Schizosaccharomyces pombe: one gene and its partners. The protein of the gene in region 4 binds, or shares a complex with, the protein of the main gene of each other region. Each region holds a gene or a part of one and is shown on either strand. Other genes may lie near its edges.

Region 1 (3,449 bases), on a different chromosome or scaffold from region 4:
TAGTTCGTTAGCCTCGCGTCAAGATTTACTTTACCGAATTCGGGATAAGCTTTTAGTATCCTATGCCCGGAAGGCAAATTGTGATACCATTGTTTTTGGTGATAGCGGTACTACAATTGCTGCAAGAGTTCTTGAACTTGTGGCAGAGGGTCGAGGTTTTGCGATACCATGGTACACTTCTGTCTGCTCTAAGCTTCCAAATTGCGATACTTTCCTACTACGTCCCCTACGTGAAGTTTTGTCTTCAGACCTCAAGTCGTATATGAACATTAAGGGATTAGCTTTCTGCGATAGCTTAATTGAAGCACGTCCTAATACTATTCATGGCGTTACAGAATCATATTTCTCATCGCTGAATGATACATTCCCAAGTCTGGTTAGCACCGTTGTCAAAATGAGCTCAAAATTGCATGTGCCTTCTACAGAAGCCATATGTACCATCTGTAATCTACCAATGCAAGAAGATGCTGAGACTTGGTTACAAAAAACTACGGTTGAACATCCGGATTCCGTTGAAGGTATTAAGAATCAAAATGTTTGCTATGGCTGTTCTGTTTCTTTAAAAAGCTTAAAAGGGACGTTGCATATTCCTGATATTGAAAAAGAAGGGATTTGATACATCTGTACACTTACTACCTGGTTAACTAGAGTATTTATGGGAAGATAAATTTGGATAGGGTTTTGTATTTCGGACAAAAAGGTTAGACATAATAACATAACGAAAATGATTAAATTGAATTTTCTTTTTTTTGTATGAAATAATAAGTAGTTTGTAGAGGAATCTAAGGGGACTTTTTCTTATAAATTTCATGGGGCTTTGCTTGATCGGAAAATGGACTCCAAATACCACGAACGGATGGGTTTGTTGACTCAACAGGATATTTTATGAGGCGAGGTTTCAAACCATCACTATCTCTGCATAGAATTGCTTTTTGAAATATTGAAGACGCTGACATTTTCCTTGTACAAATGACCTTCTCTCGACCAGTATCTATTATCGTAGCATTAGTAAAAAACACTATTTTAAGGAGTTCATATTTATAAAACTAAGAGGATCACCATAATAAGAGAAAAGTCTTGGACGTACTGTAATAAGCTCGGATTAATGGATGCTTGCCTTGGCGGTTTGTAACATGAAATTCCACATCTTGAGATTCTTTGGCCAAAGACTCAAGCTTTGTGGATAAAAATTCTTTCATGCCTTTTGAGCTTCCACCCCAATTACAATACGAAAACTCAATTCGACGGCACTAAAAAGAAAATTAGTAATACGAAGTTAATGAAGGCCAATCTTTTTTTTTTTTTTTTTTTTAAAAAAAAAGAAAGCTGATTAAATCTTACTGGGCGGGTAAATGAACCTAGTCCATTTTTGGGAATTGAAATTTTAGGAATGATTTCAATCATCATTAAGTGAGTAAAAGGCCGTAAAAAAGGGGATACCGTCTTTTAAAAACCAGAATTCTTAATATGCTATATTGAAAAAAGTTGGGTGAGCAAATCCTTGCAGAAATAATGAAAAGTCGGTATGGAGACGTAAAGGGGTGTGTGGAAATTCGCAAATCCCAAATTGCTCTAAACTTCAATACTTGTTCCAATTGATTTAGAATGTTAAACTTAGTATGCAATTAGTTTTATAAAAAATTTTAGCAACAAAATCAAGTTTACTGTCTACCTACAGTTTCTGGTTACACACTTTGCAATACTTTACCTTTCTGCTCTTCTCTAAATAATGATATCTAGAAAGTTTACAGTGATTTTTTAACGTAGTACATGGACTGCGAACAAACATAATATAGGTTTTTTAAAACGAACAATTTTGATTTAATATCATTCATTTATGCAGAGATATCCTTTTCTGAAAGAGCAAAGTTGTATCGGTTCTTGTACTCGAAGTTCTTCAGCCTAGATATTTGTCAACATAGCAAATTAATACAGTAAGCAACACCACTAATATCATTTCTAAAATAATGGCTGAATTTCTGATTTGAATATCTAAGGAATTTCATTTCATGAAGCTTTATTTATCCCTCCTAAATGAACAGAATAGCAAGAAAATATATTTCACCAGTATAGCATAAGAAACTACTGTGCATTTTGTAATAATTTATTTAATGCATTCTAATACACCTTCGTTCATATACAGTACGATCGACCCTATCCTTATCTTGGCTATATCAAGGTTCAGTATGCCGCACTAGTGCATCAGCCAGCCTATCGATGTTTATTTACTGTCCGCCACTGTATGGAAGTTGTCGTTTCCCTATCCGAATTTAATAAAAATTTTGTAAAGAAATTGATCTAAAGCGTTAGTTACTTAGTCTATACTAGACGGTTCCTTACAAAAAAATTTGACATTTTTCATAGTTGATGTAGATAACTTAGGAAAATCAACAGAATGTCGTTTCGTGTAAAGGGATGGAGTGATCAGTTCTCTGAGTCATTCTATGAGCGAGCAACCACTTTGCTTACGGCTGCTTTAAACAAAGGCACTAAACACTCGATGATTGCAGACCACATCACTGTAAAAGAGTTGGATTTGGGTCCCCAACCTCCTCAACTGGAAATTTTAGAGGTTGGCGACTTAGCGCCAGACCGCTTTCAGGGCCTCTTTAATCTCCATTATTCGGGTGATGCTTCTTTGGTCTTGCAAACAAAAATTCGTGCCAATCCATTATCGGTGCAAAAAAGTAATGTTCCCAGTTTTAGTTCTCGTAATACAATGTTAGCATCTCGTGCACCGCTTACTGTGCCTATGTTTTTACGACTTTCCGACTTAAAGCTTAACGGAATAGTTGTTTTGGTGTTTTCAAAGCAGAAAGGTATCACTGTGGTATTTCGAAACGATCCTTTAGAATCCGTGCGTGTATCTTCCTCCTTTGATTCTATTCCTGCTATTGCTCGCTTTTTACAAAGAGAAATCGAGGTGCAACTGGTCTCCCTGTTTCAGGAAGAACTTCCTTCCATCATATACAAAATGTCAAGAATTTGGTTTGCCAAGTCCGACTCTAATCTATCTTTTCAAAAAATTCCTTTCACTTCTCCTAACCAATCTCATACTTCTCTGGCTAATTATAACCCAGATTTGCTAGATGGTCCTCCCGACTATCATGAATCTACGAAAGTCGACACTCATCTCCCAATTAAAATGGGCCCATTGGATGTCCAAACGCATCCTAACATTCGATCTATTGCTTCTTTAGCCTTATCCAGAAAAGCACTACTTCCTATTTCTTCTCCTTCAATACCTATGTCCATATACCGGTCAACTCCTCCCGATACGATTATACAGCAATTGACTACTCAATCTGATGATATTTCTGCTGTATCTTCCCCTGCAACCCAATATTCCGCATCAGACTATCTTGGTTCAAATGACACCACGGCTAGGCCATCCATTTTTGGTCGTAGTCATGGTACCTCACAATTCCGCCGCCGAGAACGTGTCAAGA
Region 2 (3,487 bases), 190 kb from region 4:
GTGGTTCAAGTTAATATAGTTGATACATTTACTATCTCAACTTATTTTTTCATTATGGCCCATTAAAAAGAATTACTGTCTATTTGATGCGGTTTGTTTCCTTTTTTTTCCTACTGATCATTTGCTACTGCAAATGAGTTAAAATGCGGATCCAGCGTACCTTTACACCTAATAATTGGGGAATTAATGATATTTTATACTCGGTTTGCTTGATTGTTTAAAAGTGTCTGATGAATTTAGAACCAATAAATATGTGTCAAAATGGTGAAGAGATATGGATAGCTTCAACATATGGTCCAAAGCACGTTTTGAAAAGTCAAAAAAAGAAGCTCGTTGCAATGCTTCAAACCAAATTTGAAAAATGTTAATGAGGCAAACGATTGCATGAATGATTTAATAAGATTAGACAGTTTAAAAAGAATTGCGTTCTTTACGAAAACGTATCATTGAACTAAAAGTGATGTATGTACAGGTTGGTTAGTTTACCTTTTTACAGTACTATTTTTCTACTGATACCATCAGCACCATAGAGGTAAATACAAAATTATGGCGTTGCTAAAGAAATAAATAATAAGGGAAACCATATTCTCATAAAAAAAAAACGGCACTAGAATTACTATAAACGATATTGGGGGGAAATATTATTAGAGTATCAAAGATATGGGCATCTCAATAATGACTTAGCAAGTGAAAAAGTTAGATTTTAGGTATATTGGTCGGTTAGGCAGAGGCGTCCAAACTTTCTTTCTTTCTAGTCTTTGTTGACGACGCTGTAAATCGCGCAAGAGAGCTCGCTCATCTCTTAAAACAACAGTAACTCGAACCCGTGGAGATCTCTCAATGGCACGACCTCCACGGCCCATAGTGATAAGTTTCTTTAAATACTTTGCCTTTCCAACCCATATTTGATCAACGTAGAGAGTACTCTCATCAAGACCAGCTTCACGAACAGCGTTTTCTCGAGCAGAAACCAAAGCAGTTGCGATGTACTTGGAAATTTTTTTATCTGACATTTTCATTTGAAGTAAAGCATGATAAAATGGCTTATGGGCAATTTGACGACACAAAGCGCCGACTTTCTTTAAAGAGGAGCGAAGCACCATTGATTGTAAGGTGTAGGAAGGATCCATGGTCTCCTGTTTTTTGAAAGAAATACGTGACCTTGGTCTCTCTTTTACACGCTCTTCCTTTTGCTGACGATTAGAATCGTCCTTCTGGTTAGCAAGCATTGAGAAAATGTCGGACCCTTTTTGCGAACCCAAATTTGCAGGATTTTGTGCAGACTCCCTTAAGTAGGATCCATTTGAAAATTCTCTAACAAAAGAAAGTAATGGAAATTTGTAATGGTACGTTTTAGAATTCAATCCTATCGTGGACGATGGAACTAAAAAGCCCTTTGATATTTTCATAAATTGATTAATGTATTTCATAATTAAATCTTAAAAATTTTTTCCCAAATATTCCTTCCACACATAGAAGTCAACGTTTTCGACTAATTTGAGCAAATGCGCTTTCTCAATGTTGTAACAAAACCAGGTAAATATTACATGCCAAGGTGGTACTAATAGGAATTGCAACCTAACGAATTGCTAACTGTACTATGTTATAGGTCAGTTAGCATTTCCCTCCTTATACAGTTATAAAAATCTTAAATGAGAGAGCTCACTATCACTATGCAAGCTACTCAGTTTGTAAATCTATTTCAAGGATGGATAAACTACGATAAGGTAACTTTACAACGATGTTAACACATGCTTACATGCTTTATGCTGGCACACTAAGCTGCACATTGCGGGTATTATCTGAACGCGTTAAATGCATGGTCACGTAAAGACAGAAAACGGCCCTTGGCAGTAAACAAACAACCCATTTGTATGTTAGACAAATAATATTAGAGACAGGTGCAGAGACTGTACATGAATTGTTATTTATGATATCTTTTAGCTTCTTTGGGGAGGACGAGATTAATATTACGACCTAGTGGGCGCGTACTGAGATATTTTAGTACAATAACCTTTTGAAATTTTTTGGATATTATCCTTTTCTTTTTTATTATGGAACAAGTACAAGATGAAATTTGGAAGTTAAGTACGCTGGACGCCTGGGAAATGGTGAACAAAAATACAGAAGTTGTGTTTGATGAAATCCCCGAGCCAGAAACTTTAAGTGAAATGAAAAGACACCCATTGTATAGCAACATCTTTAACGCCGATAATAATACTACGAGTTTCACAGAACAAATCGAGACTTCTGAAACCTCCAAAACCCAAGACTCGGAGGGGAACAAAGTTGATAAAAATTTAAAAGAAAACAAGTCAATACGTCGTAAGAGAAGCATTGACAACGATTATGAATTGAGTAATGTAAAGAGAAATGATATAACATCGGGAAAAAATAGAGAATTCGAAAACGAACACCATCCCGCAAGCGATACTTCTTCTTGGCGGGAACTACCATCAATTCCAACGTTGGAAGAATTGACGTCAAAGAGTGTTGAATTACCTTCAAACAACATATACGGAGGATACAAGTCCTTTGAAGATTACTTATCTATACACTATCGGTTGCTACGTGAGGACGCAGTTTCCCCATTACGAGAAAGTGTGCTTCGGTACAAGGTAAACCCCAATTACATTACCGGCTCTTCGTTAGCCGTATATGATCATGTGCGGATAGATGGCTATACAATATCTTCCAGTGTTATAGCTGCAAAATTATCCTTCAGTGTTCGCGCTAAGAAAAAAATAAAATGGGCTACCAGTCGTCGTCTTATCAGTGGATCTTTAGTTTTATTAAGCAATGATGATTTCCAGACTTTTCGCATTGGAACTGTCTGTGCGCGGCCCTTGAGTGGCCTTAATAAACATCCTCATGAAATAGATGTCAAATTTGAAGATATTAGTATCTCTTTAGATCCTCGAGAAGAATATGTTATGATCGAAGCTACTTCAGGCTATTGGGAAGCTTACAAGCATGTTCTTCGTTCATTACAGAGGCTTTCTGCTAGCACATTCCCGATGAAGGATTACTTGGTACACTGTAAAAGTAATCAGGAGACTGCTAAACACATACAAAATAATCCTAGGATACGCATAAATTCTATCTTAAAAAATAACTCTCAAAAAATCGTAAATGCTCTTGAGCCGTTCGGTCCTGGCGAGTATATACTAGACTCGTCACAGTTAAAAGCTTACCAGTCCATGCTGACTAAGAGACTCTCCATTATTCAAGGCCCTCCAGGGACTGGTAAAAGCTTTGTTACTCTTAAAGCCATAGAAACATTACTTGAGAATACTCACTCCCATGTTCTTCCGATTTTAGTAGCTTGCCAAACGAATCATGCAGTCGATCAAATATTGATTCGTTTATTGCATCAAGGCGCTTCAGTAATGCGACTAGGTTCAAGAACGAAGGATCCTGAGATTGCAGCGGTTACGATTTTTCAAAAAGCAAAGCACACCAAGCATTCATTTAAGGCTGCTTATAA
Region 3 (3,483 bases), on a different chromosome or scaffold from region 4:
TATAAGAAATGTTATTAATACCAATAATCTTGATGCAAAATTGTCAGATGAAAGTGAGTTAATGATCGAAAAGAACAAAAGCTACTCAACACCTGCTTCATCTACCATCCCTACTTTCCATACCTCACAGCCTCTTACTTCCTTAAATATGCCTGATTCTAGATTTAATCTGGCTAAGGAAAAACAACTTTATTATCGGCTAGGCCTTCAGCATATAGATCAACAGTGTAGTGTTGAAACAGCCAACATGTTGAAAACAGTTTTGGTCCAATTAAATATCCCTTTTGCAATTTTTCCTTCTACCATCGGACAAGTCAGACGCCAGCTGCAACAAGGTCGTAGACTCTACCAATGGGCACGAAATATCCATTATCTAATATACGAGGAGAATATGCGTGACGGTTTGGTTTCAAAACAGTGTTTAGCAGATATGCTGAAAAAGATAAGGGAGCTTAAAAAACGTAGTTTGTGAATGGATGCCAATGACTTACAACTCGATCAATAAGATTTTGGGATGCAGCTTATATTATACAAATGTTGATAAATATGAAATATATTATTAACTACTGACTGAATGAAAGAGGCGTTAAATAAATCGATAGTAATAATAAGCGTATGGCAAAATGTACTATATTATGGCATCCTTTGCATAAAGAATTTTATCCTGCTGCTACACATCTTATTGATTATGCACGGTATTAGGTCTCACGAAATCTTTTGTCAAATCTGATATGATGCTTTTCTTACAAAAATTCATAGCCTCAACTCCGCCTTTTTGGAAGTAAACGACAGCAACAAGTCCGGAAACAATACTACTGTATATCTTTTCAAAACTAGACGAAGATGGAGAATTAGGCCCTTTTAATGGCAAAATACATTGTGTGGCAGTTTCAGGATTCCATTTTTTTGCAACTTCAGCGAGTCGAGCAGGGGAACGAAGATTTACTAAATCCTTGTATGAAGGTATTGTGCTAAAGTTTCCTGATTCCAAATAATGATTAAGTAAGCAAACATCGATAACTGCATTTCCAACCGAAACGAAAGGTTCATTATATCTTTTCAGCCCATGTTTATAAGATTTATGAGTTACAATTTGTTCTCTTAGAGATTTGTCTGAGATGTAATTTTTTTCACCAAAAACACGACTGAAAAAGCTGTCAATGTCTTCTTCTGTAGATGTCATTTCATATCTGTACTTATTTTCATTACACGCAATTTTCCCAATTCGACGGACACAATTCCATGATGATGATCTGAACACAAATTTATTTTCAATTTGAAGTCCTAAACGATTACAATGTCTTGTTAACATACGGATGGCATAAAATCTTAGAAAGAGCTTCAAGTTCCTCAAACCCTTGTATGGAAAATCAACTTTTCGAAAGAAAAGATATCTGTTTTCTGCAACTAGAATATAGGTTGTTTTTAAAAAACATTGGCCGATTACGAAGTAGTAAAATAGCGCACTACGCTTGAGATCACAGTGTACGAACGTCAAGGTATGCTAATGTTATCAAACTGTTTCAATAATTTACAATTTATTTTGTGTTTTACTGTTAAGTGTATATAAACAACTACTACAAAGTTATTCCAAAGAAACAATTAATTGAAAGGATACTGAAGTTTTGGTTGAAAATTTGTCACAATGAACCAAGATGATTTCAGAAAGCTTTTAGCTACTCCAAAAGCCGAAACCTCCCAGTTAAAAAATTTCTCATCGAATAAAAGTCAGCGACTTGTTTTTGGTCGTAAACATAAGACGGCCAAATTGGAAGCACCCAGAGCCCTAATTAAAAGAAAACAACTAAGTCATTCTACATCGTCAGACATTACGAGACATTCTAATGCAAAAAATTCAGGGAAAGATACTCAATTTTATGAAGAGCCTTCTTCCAAACAGGATATTGAGTTGCACAAATTGCACGAGAAACTTCGCAATGGCCAAATTACGACAAAAGAATATTCAGAAAAATCTAAAGAATTAGGCGGAGATTTGAATACAACTCATCTCGTGCGTGGTCTTGATCGAAAATTGCTTGAAAAAGTTCGCTCTAATGAGCTAGCCTTGGATGATTCTCTGCTTTCTTCGAGTGAGAAAGAAGTTGACGAAGAAGCAGACAAGCTTTTAGAGAAAGTTGCTGAGGAGTCATCACATCCTGAATCTGTTTCTATTCTAGAAGAAAAAAAGAAGATACCTCTTTATCCTAATGGACAACCGAAATATCGTAAAATTTTGGAAAATGGAAAAAAAGTTAAATATTTGCTTGATGAAAATGGTGAAATCCTAAAACGGCTTGTGAAGAAGGAAAAAAAGTTAAAAAATGATAATGAACGTTTAGAAAATGAACATAGAACCGAGAAATTAAACGTGAACGCTAATAGCTTAGGGAAAAGCTTTGTTAAGCATGATATACCACTTCCACCAGTTGATTTGAAGCTCGATATTTTCGAGGAGGTTGGAGAATATGATCCTTTTCATGAAAATGATAAAGAGCCTGCTGAGTTGAAGGCGAAGGATGCTTTTCAGCTTAAAGGTCATCATGAATTGGATGCGCCTTATCATAAGAAAGTCTTTGATACAAATCAATATAGCGATCTTAAACCTACGAATTTTATGTCTCAAATTCATCGACTTGCCAAAGTTCAGGAACGCAAAGAAGAAGAAGAGCGAAAGAAAGGAAAAGACGGACAAATTGTTGATGCAGGTTTCGGGCTTGTATTATCAAAAGACGATACAGCAGATATTCACGAGTTAGGGGAATCTGACGATGATGATAATGTTAAAAGGAGAAAGACGAAAGGTTAAAAGTACTACTTCATTCAGTATGAATATTTACGATTTAAGATTTAAGTTACGTGTTTTTAAAATATTATTATGAGGCTACAATTATTTATTTGCCCGTTTTACACCAAAAAACCTCGATTCGGGGAATTATGTTGAGGAAGCCCTGTTAAATGATCAAACGAACATATAGAAAAAGTAAGTATATCCATATCATTTCATGTAAACTTATCTACTCCAAGGCCTTTTTAATGGTTTGGATTTGTTCTAATACACAACTCTTAGCGGTACCACCAATCGCACAACGCTTCTCCACACTGGATTCATAGTTGAAAACATCTGCAACATCTTCTTCATATAATGGGTGTAGCGATTTAAAATCTTCAACACTTAGCTTATCAATGGTAGTGTTTCTTTCCTCGGCCATTCGGACAGCGGACCCGGAAATATGATGAGTTTCACGAAAGGGAACACCTTTACGCACAAGGTATTCTGCCAAATCAGTCGCTAGCATGTCCGCAGTCAAGCTCTTAGCAATATTTTCTGGATTTACAGTTAAAGTAGAAAGAACTCCGGTTAGAATTTGAATGGAATCCAAAACAGTTTTGGAAGAATCGAAAAGCGGTTCTTTATCTTCTTGGAGGTCTTTGTTATATGTTGAAGGAATCCCTTTAACCGAAACCATAAAGCCCATCATGTTG
Region 4 (2,874 bases):
GCTTCAAATTTTATTATACTCGAGTCGTTAAAAATATAAACCACTACGAGAAAAGAAAAAAATTGACCAACATTGTAAAAAAACTTATTGTCTTATAGGGTACAGGTTCCTCCTTGCCTCTTCAGACACGACGTCCCATATGGTAGTACAAGATAAATGGAAGAGAAAAGCGACATTAGCGTATAAAAAAAAGCATGACATTCATGATGCACCTGTAAAACCTCGTAAAAAAAATTTGGGAAATAACGAATGGAGATTTAAAAATGCAGGGGAATACTTTGATGAAGATAACAATGAGGAAGAATATCCAAGTTTGGAAAGTTTGAAGACCGTGGGGAATGGAGATACAATTCAAGATGAAGAAGAAGATTTCGAGTATTCAAAACTACAAGCACGGCCCCTTACTGGTTTGGGAATTAGCAACCAAAAACCCAAGTCCAAAGTTCGGACTATCCAACGTGAAGAAGTAGCCGACATGTTGGAGAGCGTTGAGCATGAAAAGTCAATTCAAGAATTCCGTAAGCGTTATAATGTACAAAAGCCAAAGGTAAACATTAGCCATGCTGAAGCGGAAGAAGATATTGATTCTTTTCTTGAAAGTATGGATCAGTCTGCTCCGCCTTCCATTACAGAAGATAAAGGGGAAAATTACATTTCTTCTAATCATTCCAGCATGCATATTTCAAGAAACGACTCTAGGAACTATATGTCTGAAAAGCCAAACAAAGACCAAAGTTGGTTAGATGAACTATTACGATAAATATAACTAGAATGAAAATTTAACTTTCAAACATGTTATTCAATTCTTTTAAACCGTTATTGTATCGATGTATCACTGTAAATCCGCTACTAGAAGCAAGAGACTTCTTTTCTTGCCCAGCGGCTAACTTTTGTTTCACAGTACTGACACTAACGAGTTCTTTTACTTTAAAAATTCTTCCCGCATTGATTGGATTTACATCGCAATAGACTACGGAGTGTCTTTTTGTTAACCTCAAAGAATGCAAAACGCTGCGCACCTTACTAAAATATTGGTTAGCAATTACAAGCATGTTTTTCTCGTTTCCAAAACACGTACCTCGAGAGCCCGATGGCTGACCTTTCTAAACGAACTCGAAAGAATGACATTATGGTAAACTAGAAGTTCGTGGAGTCCGTTTAACACTAAATATTGAAACTCTTTTAGTTCAACCGATAAAATACAATTCATATCGCAAGCTCGTTATTGTTCACTATTATTCACTACGTTGCTATCTATTTAACGATACATTGAATTACGATGAATTTTTTGCGATCCACATTTAGTGGAATGCAGTATATTAACTACAATGTTATATTTATTGTTATAAGAAGTCTATTAGTGTAAGTCACCGATATGGTTAAAAAATGGAGAGGAGCGATTTACAGTAACATCTATAATTATCATCTTTCTAGTAGTTGTAATCACATGGTGTCTATGAGTATAGACGACTACTTATCTGTTTACTGTCAATAAACGGATCTTTACTAATATTCCAACATGTAACATATAGTGATACGCAACCTAGTAAATCATTAGTGTAATGCAGTATTACCGATATATCACAAAAAATTATGTTAATTGGTATTACGTGTCTGCTTCACAATGCTAATATCATATTAACGATGTTCAATGGATTATTATTTTTAAGATGTGAAATTTGGCTGGGATAAAACTTTTTCTTTACCAAAATGGCACTTCGTGCTCAATTCGAGAATTCTAATGAGTAAGTTTACTCAGCTTTTTTGCTTAATAGACGCATGATATTAACAAATTATAGGATTGGTGTCTTTTCTAATCTCACAAACTCATACGCACTTGTAGCGCTTGGAGGCTCTGAAAACTTCTACAGGTAAGCTTAACGTTTATTTGATGCCAAAATTTAATGTTCTAAATGTAAACGATTCAAAATTTTTTTAAAGGTTCTTAAAATCCTTAACCAGTCGAACGTATTATGAGAAAAATAAATAGCACATATGTGAATGATGTAGCCTAACTACTCTTTAATTGAGTAAAAGAGACTTTGCTACATAAATGCAAACCACTACTTAAACTCTGGCGGTTTGCTGTTCATTACCTTTATTATTCCTTGACTCGATGCAGCTCGACAAATTATTTTTTTTGGCATTTTTTACATTTATCAACTTTTCACTAACTTTTATAACAGCGTGTTCGAGGCAGAGTTAGGTGATGTTGTACCCGTTGTTCATACCACAATTGGAGGAACCAGAATCATTGGTCGTTTGACATGTGGTAATAGAAAAGGTCTGTTAGTTCCCTCTTCTACCACCGATAATGAACTACAGCACCTCCGCAATTCTCTTCCAGATCCTGTCAAAATCCAACGTGTTGATGAACGACTTTCAGCTCTAGGAAACATTGTGGCTTGCAACGACTATGTGGCCCTTGTTCATCCTGATATTGAGCGTGAAACCGAGGAAATTATTGCTGATGTCTTAGATGTTGAAGTTTTCCGTCAAACCGTTGCAGGCAATGTTTTAACCGGTTCGTATTGTGCATTGAGCAATCAAGGTGCTTTGGTTCACCCTCGTACTAGCATTCAGGAACAGGATGAATTGTCATCACTTCTTCAAGTTCCTCTTGTTGCCGGTACCATCAACCGTGGTTCCGATGTTATCGGTGCTGGTCTAGTTGTGAACGACTGGTGTGCGTTTGCTGGACTTGATACTACGGCTACTGAATTGGCTGTCTGTGAATCTATATTTAAACTTCAAGATGCTCAACCTTCTGCTATTATAAGCAACAGAGACACTCTTGTTGAGTCTTATACATAAGCAGTCGGTGTGAGCTAACTAAAAAATTATTGATCAGGATTTATGAGTTTGGATAATTCA

The links.
Region 1: mrpl33 (region 4) and mrpl51 share a complex: the UniProt entries of both Schizosaccharomyces pombe proteins name them as parts of the mitochondrial large ribosomal subunit.
Region 2: mrpl33 (region 4) and mrpl22 share a complex: the UniProt entries of both Schizosaccharomyces pombe proteins name them as parts of the mitochondrial large ribosomal subunit.
Region 3: mrpl33 (region 4) and mrpl15 share a complex: the UniProt entries of both Schizosaccharomyces pombe proteins name them as parts of the mitochondrial large ribosomal subunit.

The regions. Positions count from the first base shown.
Region 1 is NC_003423.3:1,698,040-1,701,488, reverse strand, and holds mrpl51 (mitochondrial 54S ribosomal protein mL43), read right to left. Parts: upstream 1,557-3,449; 5' UTR 1,408-1,556; coding exon 1,342-1,407; exon of another isoform or gene 1,251-1,341; coding exon 1,088-1,250; exon of another isoform or gene 992-1,087; coding exon 783-991; 3' UTR 617-782; downstream 1-616. Other genes in the region: cytosolic thiouridylase subunit Ctu2, read left to right, coding at 1-616; protein Mdm34, read left to right, coding at 2,396-3,449. UniProt on the Schizosaccharomyces pombe protein: Component of the mitochondrial ribosome (mitoribosome), a dedicated translation machinery responsible for the synthesis of mitochondrial genome-encoded proteins, including at least some of the essential transmembrane subunits of the mitochondrial respiratory chain.
Region 2 is NC_003421.2:2,027,601-2,031,087, forward strand, and holds mrpl22 (mitochondrial 54S ribosomal protein uL22m), read right to left. Parts: upstream 1,535-3,487; 5' UTR 1,431-1,534; coding exon 681-1,430; 3' UTR 574-680; downstream 1-573. Other genes in the region: helicase Hrr1, read left to right, coding at 2,055-3,487. UniProt on the Schizosaccharomyces pombe protein: Component of the mitochondrial ribosome (mitoribosome), a dedicated translation machinery responsible for the synthesis of mitochondrial genome-encoded proteins, including at least some of the essential transmembrane subunits of the mitochondrial respiratory chain.
Region 3 is NC_003423.3:4,362,371-4,365,853, forward strand, and holds mrpl15 (mitochondrial 54S ribosomal protein mL57), read right to left. Parts: upstream 1,422-3,483; 5' UTR 1,313-1,421; coding exon 680-1,312; 3' UTR 512-679; downstream 1-511. Other genes in the region: SIN component scaffold protein Sid4, read left to right, coding at 1-472; SPOM_SPBC1539.02 (uncharacterized protein), read left to right, coding at 1,646-2,806; arg41 (argininosuccinate lyase), read right to left, coding at 3,015-3,483. UniProt on the Schizosaccharomyces pombe protein: Component of the mitochondrial ribosome (mitoribosome), a dedicated translation machinery responsible for the synthesis of mitochondrial genome-encoded proteins, including at least some of the essential transmembrane subunits of the mitochondrial respiratory chain.
Region 4 is NC_003421.2:2,221,444-2,224,317, forward strand, and holds mrpl33 (mitochondrial 54S ribosomal protein uL30m), read right to left. Parts: upstream 1,140-2,874; 5' UTR 1,129-1,139; coding exon 1,079-1,128; intron 1,024-1,078; coding exon 780-1,023; 3' UTR 761-779; downstream 1-760. Other genes in the region: SPOM_SPCC1919.07 (uncharacterized protein), read left to right, coding at 140-760; tif6 (translation initiation factor-like ribosome biogenesis protein), read left to right, coding at 1,711-1,745, 1,800-1,871, 2,187-2,814. UniProt on the Schizosaccharomyces pombe protein: Component of the mitochondrial ribosome (mitoribosome), a dedicated translation machinery responsible for the synthesis of mitochondrial genome-encoded proteins, including at least some of the essential transmembrane subunits of the mitochondrial respiratory chain.